Neodiprion lecontei: one gene and its partner. Each later gene encodes a partner of the first gene's protein in a complex. Links are inferred from orthologs where the notes say so. Each region holds a gene or a part of one and is shown on either strand. Other genes may lie near its edges. The genes, in order: DNA polymerase epsilon subunit 2 and DNA polymerase epsilon subunit 4.

What was found.
Region 2: DNA polymerase epsilon subunit 2 (region 1) and DNA polymerase epsilon subunit 4 share a complex: the UniProt entries of both Homo sapiens proteins name them as parts of the DNA polymerase epsilon complex. The link is inferred for Neodiprion lecontei from reciprocal best matches to the Homo sapiens genes POLE2 and POLE4.

The regions. Positions count from the first base shown.
Region 1 is NC_060266.1:940,866-946,665, reverse strand, and holds DNA polymerase epsilon subunit 2, read left to right. Parts: upstream 1-1,808; 5' UTR 1,809-2,418; coding exon 2,419-2,486; intron 2,487-2,634; coding exon 2,635-3,181; intron 3,182-3,291; coding exon 3,292-3,975; intron 3,976-4,065; coding exon 4,066-4,338; 3' UTR 4,339-5,036; downstream 5,037-5,800. UniProt on the Homo sapiens protein: Accessory component of the DNA polymerase epsilon complex. Participates in DNA repair and in chromosomal DNA replication.
Region 2 is NC_060263.1:35,832,246-35,836,298, reverse strand, and holds DNA polymerase epsilon subunit 4, read right to left. Parts: upstream 2,182-4,053; 5' UTR 2,025-2,181; intron 1,641-2,024; 5' UTR 1,485-1,640; coding exon 1,242-1,484; intron 1,157-1,241; coding exon 1,016-1,156; 3' UTR 812-1,015; downstream 1-811. Other genes in the region: gametocyte-specific factor 1 homolog, read left to right, coding at 3,268-3,591, 3,742-3,906. UniProt on the Homo sapiens protein: Accessory component of the DNA polymerase epsilon complex. Participates in DNA repair and in chromosomal DNA replication.

The DNA of each region.
Region 1 (5,800 bases):
GCTGAAATTTCTCCGATTTGCTTAGTTCTGATAGGAAGTGGCGCGAAAATTTGAGATATCATGCCCCCTCAAGCAAGCATGCATGCCTTCAGTCACACAGCGTCGCCATAACATGCAGTCAATCAATGTGTCCTTGTTTTTAGAAGAGCTCCTCGGTTTTTCTGCGCTCCTGATACTCGGAGCATGCATGCCTTCAGTCATACAGCGTCGACATCACATGCAGTCAATCAATCAATCAATGTGTCCCTGTTCTTGGAAAAGCTCCTCGGTTCTCCTGCGCTCCTGATACCAGGAGTAATTTCCGCTGAAATTTCTCCGATTTGCTTAGTTCTAATAGGAAGTGGCGCGAAAATTTGAGATCTCGTGCCCTCTCAATCAAGCATGCATGCCTTCAGTCACTCAGCGTTGACATCACATGCAGTCAATCAATCAATCAATGTGTCCCTGTTTTTGGAAGAGCTCCTCGGTTCTCCTGCGCTCCTGATACCAGGAGTAATTTTCGCTGAAATTTCTCCGATTTACTTAGTTCTAATAGGAAGTGGCGCGAAAATTTCAAGATCTGATACCCTTTCCAGCAAGCATGCATGCCTTCAGTCACACAGCGTCGACATCACATGCAGTCAATCAATCAATCAATGTGTACCTGTTTTTGGAAGAGCTCCTCGGTTCTCCTGCGCTCCTGATACCCGGAGTAATTTTCGCTGAAATTTCTCCGATTTGCTTAATTCTAATAGGAAGTGGCGCGAAAATTTGAGATCTCATGCCCTCTCAAGCAAGCATGCATGCCTTCAGTCATACAGCGTCGACATCACATGCAGCCAATCAATCAATCAATGTCTCCCTATTTTTAGAAGAGATCCTCGGTTCTCCTGCGCTCCTGATACCAAGAGCAGTTTCACACTGAAATTTTTCTACAATAGCTACAAAATAAGGACACTAGACGTAAACGCAAGCGTTTGCAGGCTCTTTTAGGGAAGCAGGCATTTGTGTGCAGAATAATTTTATTCGGTATTTCCATGTATAGTATACTATGGTGTGATATAATCTTATGTAGAATTACTATGTATGGTATAATTACATGTAGAATAATTTGAGTGGTATGTTGTAGTTTTATTTATTTATTCAATCATTAATGTAGCTAGTTACACAATAAAAATACAGTATAATATGCCAAGACTTTGCAATAAAATTCTGCAGAGGTGCAGAATGCGCTTGTGTAGCGCCGGTATAGCTCACCTAACTAATAAAACCTACAACTAGATATTCAATTACTGAAAAACAAGAAAACAAGTTCGTTGCGATAGTTGGATACACGACTAATTTAGTGCAGCTTTTTTTTCATAAGTATAACAATTTTATTTGGTATAATTATGTGTACAATAATTTCGTGTGGTATACTTATGTGCAGAATAATTGTGCGTCGCATAATTATATCTAGAATAGTTTGTGACACACTATAAAGCCTGGAACAATTTTTTGCGGCATAATCGTGTGTGGAATAATTTTGGGTGTCAGTATTGTATGTAGAATAATTTTGATTGGTATAATTATGTTTGGAATAATCATTTTCGCATTCTGTTCGACATTTATTACTTATCGCTTTCCTACCTGTACTACCGTCACTCCAATTATTGTAGAAATATGAGTAATAGTACGTAGCAACGAAAGCCATTTCTTGCAATACTGAGTACGCCTGATGACCAGAATTTATTTGCGTCAACATTATGTGCCTCAAGTGTTTTTCAAAGGGTATCCAATACACGTAATTGCGTATCAAATTGCCTGAGAAGCCTAGCTCAAGCGTTCACTCTACACACGGCCTAATGCTCCAGCTCCAATTTGTTTATCAATTGACCAATTAATCAATAAATCAATGTTACCAATACGAAATTTCCCGACTATCGATTTTGATAGATTATGTATTTCACAAGAAGGAATAATGATTATGTTGACATAACACATCATAACATGTAATCAATTAAATCAGTATCCTATTACTCTACCTGTATTCATTGCGACATTAATTCTCAAGGCCTCATTAGTTAACTCTTCATATGATTCTGTGTCACACGATAGTTGAAGATTTCGCATTATTATTAACTGACAAAATCTATGTGTACAGTTTTCGAACAAATTCTAATTTTCATTCATAACATTTAGCCTGTGATACTATTGCTAGCGGTTAGGCGGTGTCACCTGTGCGGCTTTTCCCGCGTAAATGCAGGCCGTGATTATTCTAGAAATACAAATGAATTTGCAGTCTCCAGTGTAAATTTATCTATTAATACGTCGACTCTAACATCGGTGTTGTTTACTAATCTATTAATTTTAATAATTTGACCCTGTTTTCCACTCATTGTCAGTTTCATTCGTTCATCCATGCAATGGTAAATGGGTACGTGAATGTAAGCAGCTACCATGGAAAATGAGAGGTTAATAAAAACCGTTCAAACAGCGTTCAAATTGTCTGGTCTGAACATAAACAGGTATGTATGGATATACTTTAAGTATGAAATATATATTGCTGACATCTACTATCTGACAAAACGAATTCACAATAAAATGGAACAAAAAAAAAAATGACAACAGTCATCGTCTCATAATTGACAATACAATTTTTTCCTCATCCTTCAGGAAATGCTGTCTTCATTTAGCGCGTCAATTGCGAAATATTGATGCAGCGGAGCACGAACACTGGATATGTCGAATAGTCGAGTATGTCCTGGCACAGGATTTAGTTGAGCCATGCGTTAGTGTGGATCACATAAAGGTGGCTCTCAAGGAGTGCCTTAGACCAAGCAATAGTCTCCAAGAGACTGAAACAATCCTGAACGTTCTCGACGGTTTCAGAGTACCAAAGATAAAATACGATGTCACGAACAAGAAATTTGTCATCGAGCAGAGCGTTCCCAATTTGTTTTCAGAACCTGTCGATAAATCTCTGGTAATCAAAGAACGACTCGAGCTCCTATGGCACAGGACCATGCAGAATGAGCTCTTTGCTCCTGTCAAATTTGGTGAAGTGGACACAGTCAGAGTGAAGCTACGTCAAATAGAGTATCTACTAAGTCTCTCTGAGGCTAAAGATGTCTACGTTATAGGCATGTTAGCTCAGCTGACCGAAAGACAGTATTACCTGGAAGATGCAAGCGGATATGTCAAAATTGATCTCAGTCAAGCAATATCCTTTTCAAAACAAACTATAGGAAGTTCTTTGACAATTCTGAAACAATAATTAATGATTTGCACGTAAGTGTGATTTATTTTACCTTAACTCTCTCTCTCTCTCAAGACTATCAAGCACATCTTATAACCGAGGGTTGCGTAGTTCTGGTACGAGGAGACTACGAAGATAGGGTACTTGTCGTAAAAACCATAGGATTTCCACCGTCCGAGACATCGACAGAAAGTCGCGCGCGTTTCGGAACGGCGAACACCTTTGGTGGTCATCATCCAGTGTCGCTGAAAACATCGGAGAAGTTGAGAAATTTTGAGGAGAACAACCCAGATGAGATGATCGTGTTCATATCTGAATTATGGGTCGACGACCAGATAGTACTTGAAAAACTCAAGCTCATGTTAGAGGAGTTCTCAAATTTTCCCCCAGTGGCTTTTGTGATATGTGGGAATTTTCTGAGCTTTCCACCAAACGTAACCAGTTCACAGAAACTGAAGGAAGGCTTCAAAAGATTGGCTGATATAATTGCAGGCTATCCAGAGATTGTTCAGAACAGTAAATTCGTCCTTATTCCTGGGCCACACGATCCTGGGGCACCAAGAATATTCCCAAGAGCACCTATACCTGGTTACGTAGTTGAGGATTTCATCAAGGCCATTCCTAAAACTGTTCTGGCAACAAATCCCTGTAGAATTCAGTACTGTACAAAGGAAATAGTAGTTTTCAGAGAAGATATTCTTACTAAGTTATGCAGGAACACTTTATACCTTCCCGACGATGCGGATATCCCCAAAGACGTTAGTTTCGTTCTATTTTGTTACGTAAGAAAAAATATACATCAATTAATGGATCAAATCTAATTTCTTCTTTTTCAATTATATTTTCAGTATGCCAAATCGATAATCTCGCAATCCCACTTGACCCCTATGGCCCTACCTACAGTGCCTATTTACTGGAAGCACGATCAAGCGTTACAGCTTTATCCAACGCCAGATCTCATAGTCGTGGCTGATCAGTTTGAGCCTTACAACACTGAGTACAACGAATGTTTTGTTGTAAATCCAGGAGTGTTTTCGAAAAATGATTTTCCATTCAAAGTCTACATACCAGGAGAAAATAAAATCGAAGATTCTGAGATGGAAAAAGAAGATCAGAGCTAACGATCTGTCAATATTTTGGTCGTTATTTTCTTTTTTTGTTTACAGGCTTAAGATGATACCTTTAAACAACAATTTTCAACAAAACAAGATTTCTAACCAAATGAAAAATAATGTAAATTTCATACTTCACGGTATAGCTTGATCATTCCTGTTTACCAAACATGATGTGTACTTCGCTATAATTTTGTACAATATTTATTATTATTATTACTATTTCTTTCATTTTTCACAGGACAATTATGAATGTTTGTTCTCTGTCGTTTTTCACCCCTTGTCGCGAACTTTTACAATACTTGATTCGTCGGCGCGTTTTCATGTTCGCAACTTAAAGTGGGCATTTTCCTTTTAGTTTACTTTTTCTTTCAACTTAGAAATAACAGCGTGTAATCATTATTATAATTATGATTAAGTTAACAATACAAGTACAGACGTAATAGTAATTGTAATATTATTTATAACTAACTATAGTAGTGTGATAATATTAATATTAATTGTAATTACGATAATTAAATAAAATCAGAAAAATAATAATAATTTAATCACTCGTCGGTAGGGTACTGGGGCATGAGTGAGAGGCAAAGAGGAAGAGGATTGATACGTGCAAATTTGTCGCTGCAAGACTACCTCGTTTTCATATACCTATACCTATACCCATGTATGTACATACTTATACATACAGATAACGAATACACTGGATGCCGAAATCCAGCAAAAATGTGTAATGTTTTAAATATCATTATTACTATTCCTATTTTTACTAATGTGATGAATGAAATATTTTGTGTGTTTTCGCGGAAATATTGTAGTGAATGCATGCTCGACTTTCGTACTTTTCTTTAGCTACGAATATTAATAGCTCGCTTTTGCTATTACTATTCTTGTGATTATTGGTATTTTACAATGTACACGTAAATTTTTGTGTTTTGTTTTCTGTATAAACACAGTCACAAAAGCATGCAGACGCTTGATCGATAGATATACAGTAATATACAGATATATACTTGTTCAAGACTTGTAAATACATATAAAAGTATCGCAGTTTCATATTACATACAAGACATTACAGCTAACAAGAATCCAAGAAAAATTGGGAAAAAAATACTTTCAGTCTATTACATATGCGTGTGTACAAAAGTTGCAAACGGAGAGGGAGATTGTTTAAAAAAATGTTTGATATAAAGAGATCTATCCAAGTTTCAGTACAAGCCTATGAATTTGCTGCATAATAACATCAGCAGCGGTTGTATTATAACGCAACCATAAAAGGAGAAAGAGTTGTACGAACAATCAAGAGAAAAGAAAATGAAAAAATAACAAAACACTAAAATTCATATTCAATACTACCTTGTTTAACCTGAGACAGATATTACACATCATAAAATACCGTCAAAAATGAAAATCAGGAAAGAGAAGAATTATTTTACTTTTCTTGGATTAAAAGTATGTTTTTCTTCGCCTCTAT
Region 2 (4,053 bases), on another chromosome or scaffold:
TTTTGTTACTAAATAATGCTGGATAATTCATCTGCATTTAAAAAAAAATAAAAACTAATATTTTAATCACGCTTTACATATAATATTTCTCTGCATCACACAGCATTTGAGATTTTTTCATTTTCATACTCAACTCACAATTTAGACTATTAATAGGATGTATATGATCTCTATAAGTTACTAACTAACAATTCAATTAAATATGCTGAGAGAATCTTTAGTCAGAGAGTGTGAAAATAAGACTGATTTTATTTTCCCAGCATCATTCAGTTTTAATAGCCTTACGAAATTTATCATAATAATACTAAAAATCCGGTACTTTCCAATAACTATCTGCATGTCATTTTTAGCTCTGAAATAAGGGTAGGGAAAACTGAGTGCAAGTAAATATGTCGGAGATAAAATCTATACATGAGGAAATGTTATATGTATTCAACTAAAGCTGATATGATCTAATCAAGTGAATGTGGCACGCGTTATGTAATAACTAAGCAAATAAATACTCTTTATACCAAGTCTTACAATACTTATTTTTATGTCTATCTGTCGCTGGATCATTTTTTGTTTTTTCGTCCGCATTGAAGCATTGTAAGAATGATGATAATAAATAACGTGATTAATAACTTCGTGTGTAGCTTTAAATGTTTTACAAAATAAACTGCCTTATTTGTCCTTAATACAGTTATTTCAAACCTTTCCAAAATCAAAATTTCCCAGGCTACTGTGAGCCAGTTCATTCCTACGACACTTTGGTTTAAAAACTAATCTGTATCACAAGGTATCGGAATAAACTTGTTGAATTACACAAAGATAATTGAAAATATTTTTAAATGTTATTACAAGAGCTTCAACTGTTGTATGAATTAATGAATTTAAATACTTATCTTAATAATTACATGATATAACATATGTTTGTTTCACGTTAAATACACTATCGATTGAAATGAGAAAATCATCTTAGTCATCCGCATGAGTGACGTGCAAGTGTTAAAGCTAATATAAAAAAGATTCAAAGTCACTCTAATGCTCCTTCTAGAAACACCAATCCGTCGACATTTTCAATGGCGATTTCGACATCTCGTTTTTGCACAGTCTTCTTCTTGTTCTGTGCTGTATACTTGTAGGACTCTTTCGCTAGGGAGTCAATGAAAAGTTCCTGCAAGCAATGCAATTTAGCAATAACTGCGAATAGGTGAATTAGGAAAATGTATAAGAAAAATTTAATTTGAATAACTAATTACCGCTGATTTTGTTATCAGAAATACAGCCTCTTGAGTGATTAAGTTTACATCCGGATCCAGTTTCACTATTGCTTTAACTCTACTCAGTGGGAGTTTTAACAATTTTTCTTTCTGTTCCTCGTCACCATGAGAAACACCGTCAATTTCTTCTTGGGAATCCTGAGAATGTTCAGCTATCTCGCTGACTGCACTTTCATTCAATTCATTTTCACTCATGAAACCATGCACTTCCATTTCAGACATTTTTGAAATATTTGTATTACGTTCGATTTACTGACCCAAACATCGACTTACGGATCAGTGGACCGCTTGATGTGATGAGCTTCTCGCTATGCAATCGCAAAAAGGAATTGATTTTTCACGATTTCGTCCGTCTAGGAGCTAAACGCTACTCTTTTTCTGTGAAGCAATCAATTGACAAAAGTATTGTCAGCAGCTTCACGCATATTTCTACACACTATGGTTATGGTTACGACTGAAATCTATAAAAACGGCGACCGATCATCGGATCGTCCTCTGGGTTTTTACCACCAGATTTGTCATCTTGTACCGGTACAGTCTCGCGGTAAAATCCTTTTGCCTTTTGCATTTAAACTTTTCATACAACGTTACTCTGCCCAAAAGTCTAGCGAGCTTTCAGCTCCGTTTTGTCATATTAATTTAAGATCTTACACTAGGTAACTTCGTTGTTTGTGACTCGAAATATTGAACTTATAAAATAAATCCAAGTTAATCAAAGTATCCAAATATATTAAAATCAGTCATTCCGTTAAATCCTCTCACCAATCTACGCTGCAAGTCATCATATCCAGATTATTCTCAAAAGGTAAGCCAATTAATTAAATCTTTTATCCAACAATTACTCCTTCCTCGGTTCGTTCGATTAGAGCGATAGAATGCCCGTTGTTCGGTGTATTTCAATACTCTATCGGTAAAGGTTTCTCTCTGTCGGTAATTGGTGACCCAAACAACTGATGTCTAACTCTAGCTGTGTGAACGATTCCGGTGTCTAGCATCTGGAAATTTCCACCAGGTACCGTTCGACGTCACACTGCTATCATTTCCGGTAACACAGCAGCGACCACCGATGTGGCCAAATTGCATAGTTAGCAACAAAGACCGTGGTTAGCAAAGTGTATCTATCTCTCTTCACATACGACACTGGACAAAGCAAGTAACTATGTTTTGGGGGGATTTCTTGTGCTATTGGTTAGTTCATTTACTCAAAGTAGAAAATTTGAACAAACTTGTGTTGTGTAGTTGTTGAACGTGTTTGAATTCGAGGTGACCTCTATTTACTCCCGAATTATTAATCATTTTGCAGTTATTTACGGGGTGAGTAAATATTTTAACAAGATCTCATCTGTCAAAACGATCAATCTATTGCATTACTGAGGGTAATCGAGCTGAAATTATCTTCAAGCAAAATATTATATGGGTTAAATGAAATATTACGGTAATGTGCTCTAATACACCCAAGGTAGGGTGCTAATCGTAAGATGCTTGCGAAATCGTGATCCTAGATAGCGAAGGCTCTCCTCTTCTTCTCGTCCTTTGTTATCATGGCGTATTTGTTGATAATTAATACTATCTCTACAGCATAAATCTTTTATTTTTGTATCTCGAATGCGCATAGTTTGTCATTTGATTAACTGCACCGTTCGCAAGGATTTGTGGGCGATGTGGCACTCTCAATATCATGCTGAAAACATTAGGTTCGAAGTTTGATATACTCTAATGTTTAGTAGAAACTTGATGTTTTTCAGATACTATTTTTTTTTGGGCAGTTGTCACTATGTGACGCAGATTCCGACCAATCTGAATACACTGTGCTAATTGTTTATATCATTCTTTGAAACTCTGAAGTTGTTATATTATCATCGCCTTTATTTGCCATAAACATATAAGTATACCTGTTTTTATATACTTTTTTGATTACAGATATTCGCAGCTCCTTGAGTAACGAGGTCTTCAAATCATAATAATAACAACAAAACCAACAACAATATTAATATAAATTTAAACAATGCCAACATCTCATCCCTTGACTGGAGGACCGGACCCTGAAAGTCTTTTGACATGTCCGTATAATGCATCTCATAGACTGGCTCGCAAACGTATGCAATTCCATTTGACAAAATGTCGCAAAGCTTATCCCTTATCTAAAAAGCAGACATGCCCCTTCAATGCAACACACCTGGTGAACGAACAAGAATTCCTGTTTCACTTGGAAACATGCTCGAACAGGGGAATTGTTGACAATTTCACGTACATCACACAAGATGAGAATCATGCAATACAATCTTTGCCAGAGCCGGATCTTCCTGACAGTGAAGAGAATTGGGATAATGTTGGTAGAAAATTTGTTTTGCCTAGATGAGGAAGATTATATTTATTTATCTCTAACTTAGATACGATAATATCAAAATATTCTGTAAGGAAAACATCGTATATATTGTAAGTTTATTATATTTCTATAGTAATATAAATTATGGAATAGGATAACTGTGGGACATATGACGCTGCTGTCAATGTGGCAGAAGCACCGATAATACATACTTTGATTGGTGCTACCCCAAGTGAACGCAAAAAATTTAGAGTACAAGAACGACAAAGATTCCGAGCTCTGGATGAAAGTATTTCAGTTGTCAAGGTTGAACCAAAGGTAATGTGTTGTTGTTTTGGGTTTTTTTTTTATTTTCTGCGTGAATTAAGGTCATGCATTAACCTCTAAATATTTTGACAACACACGGTGAACAAGACAAACTTGCTCTTGAAAAAACTACTAAATTTCCATAATAAAATTATGTAA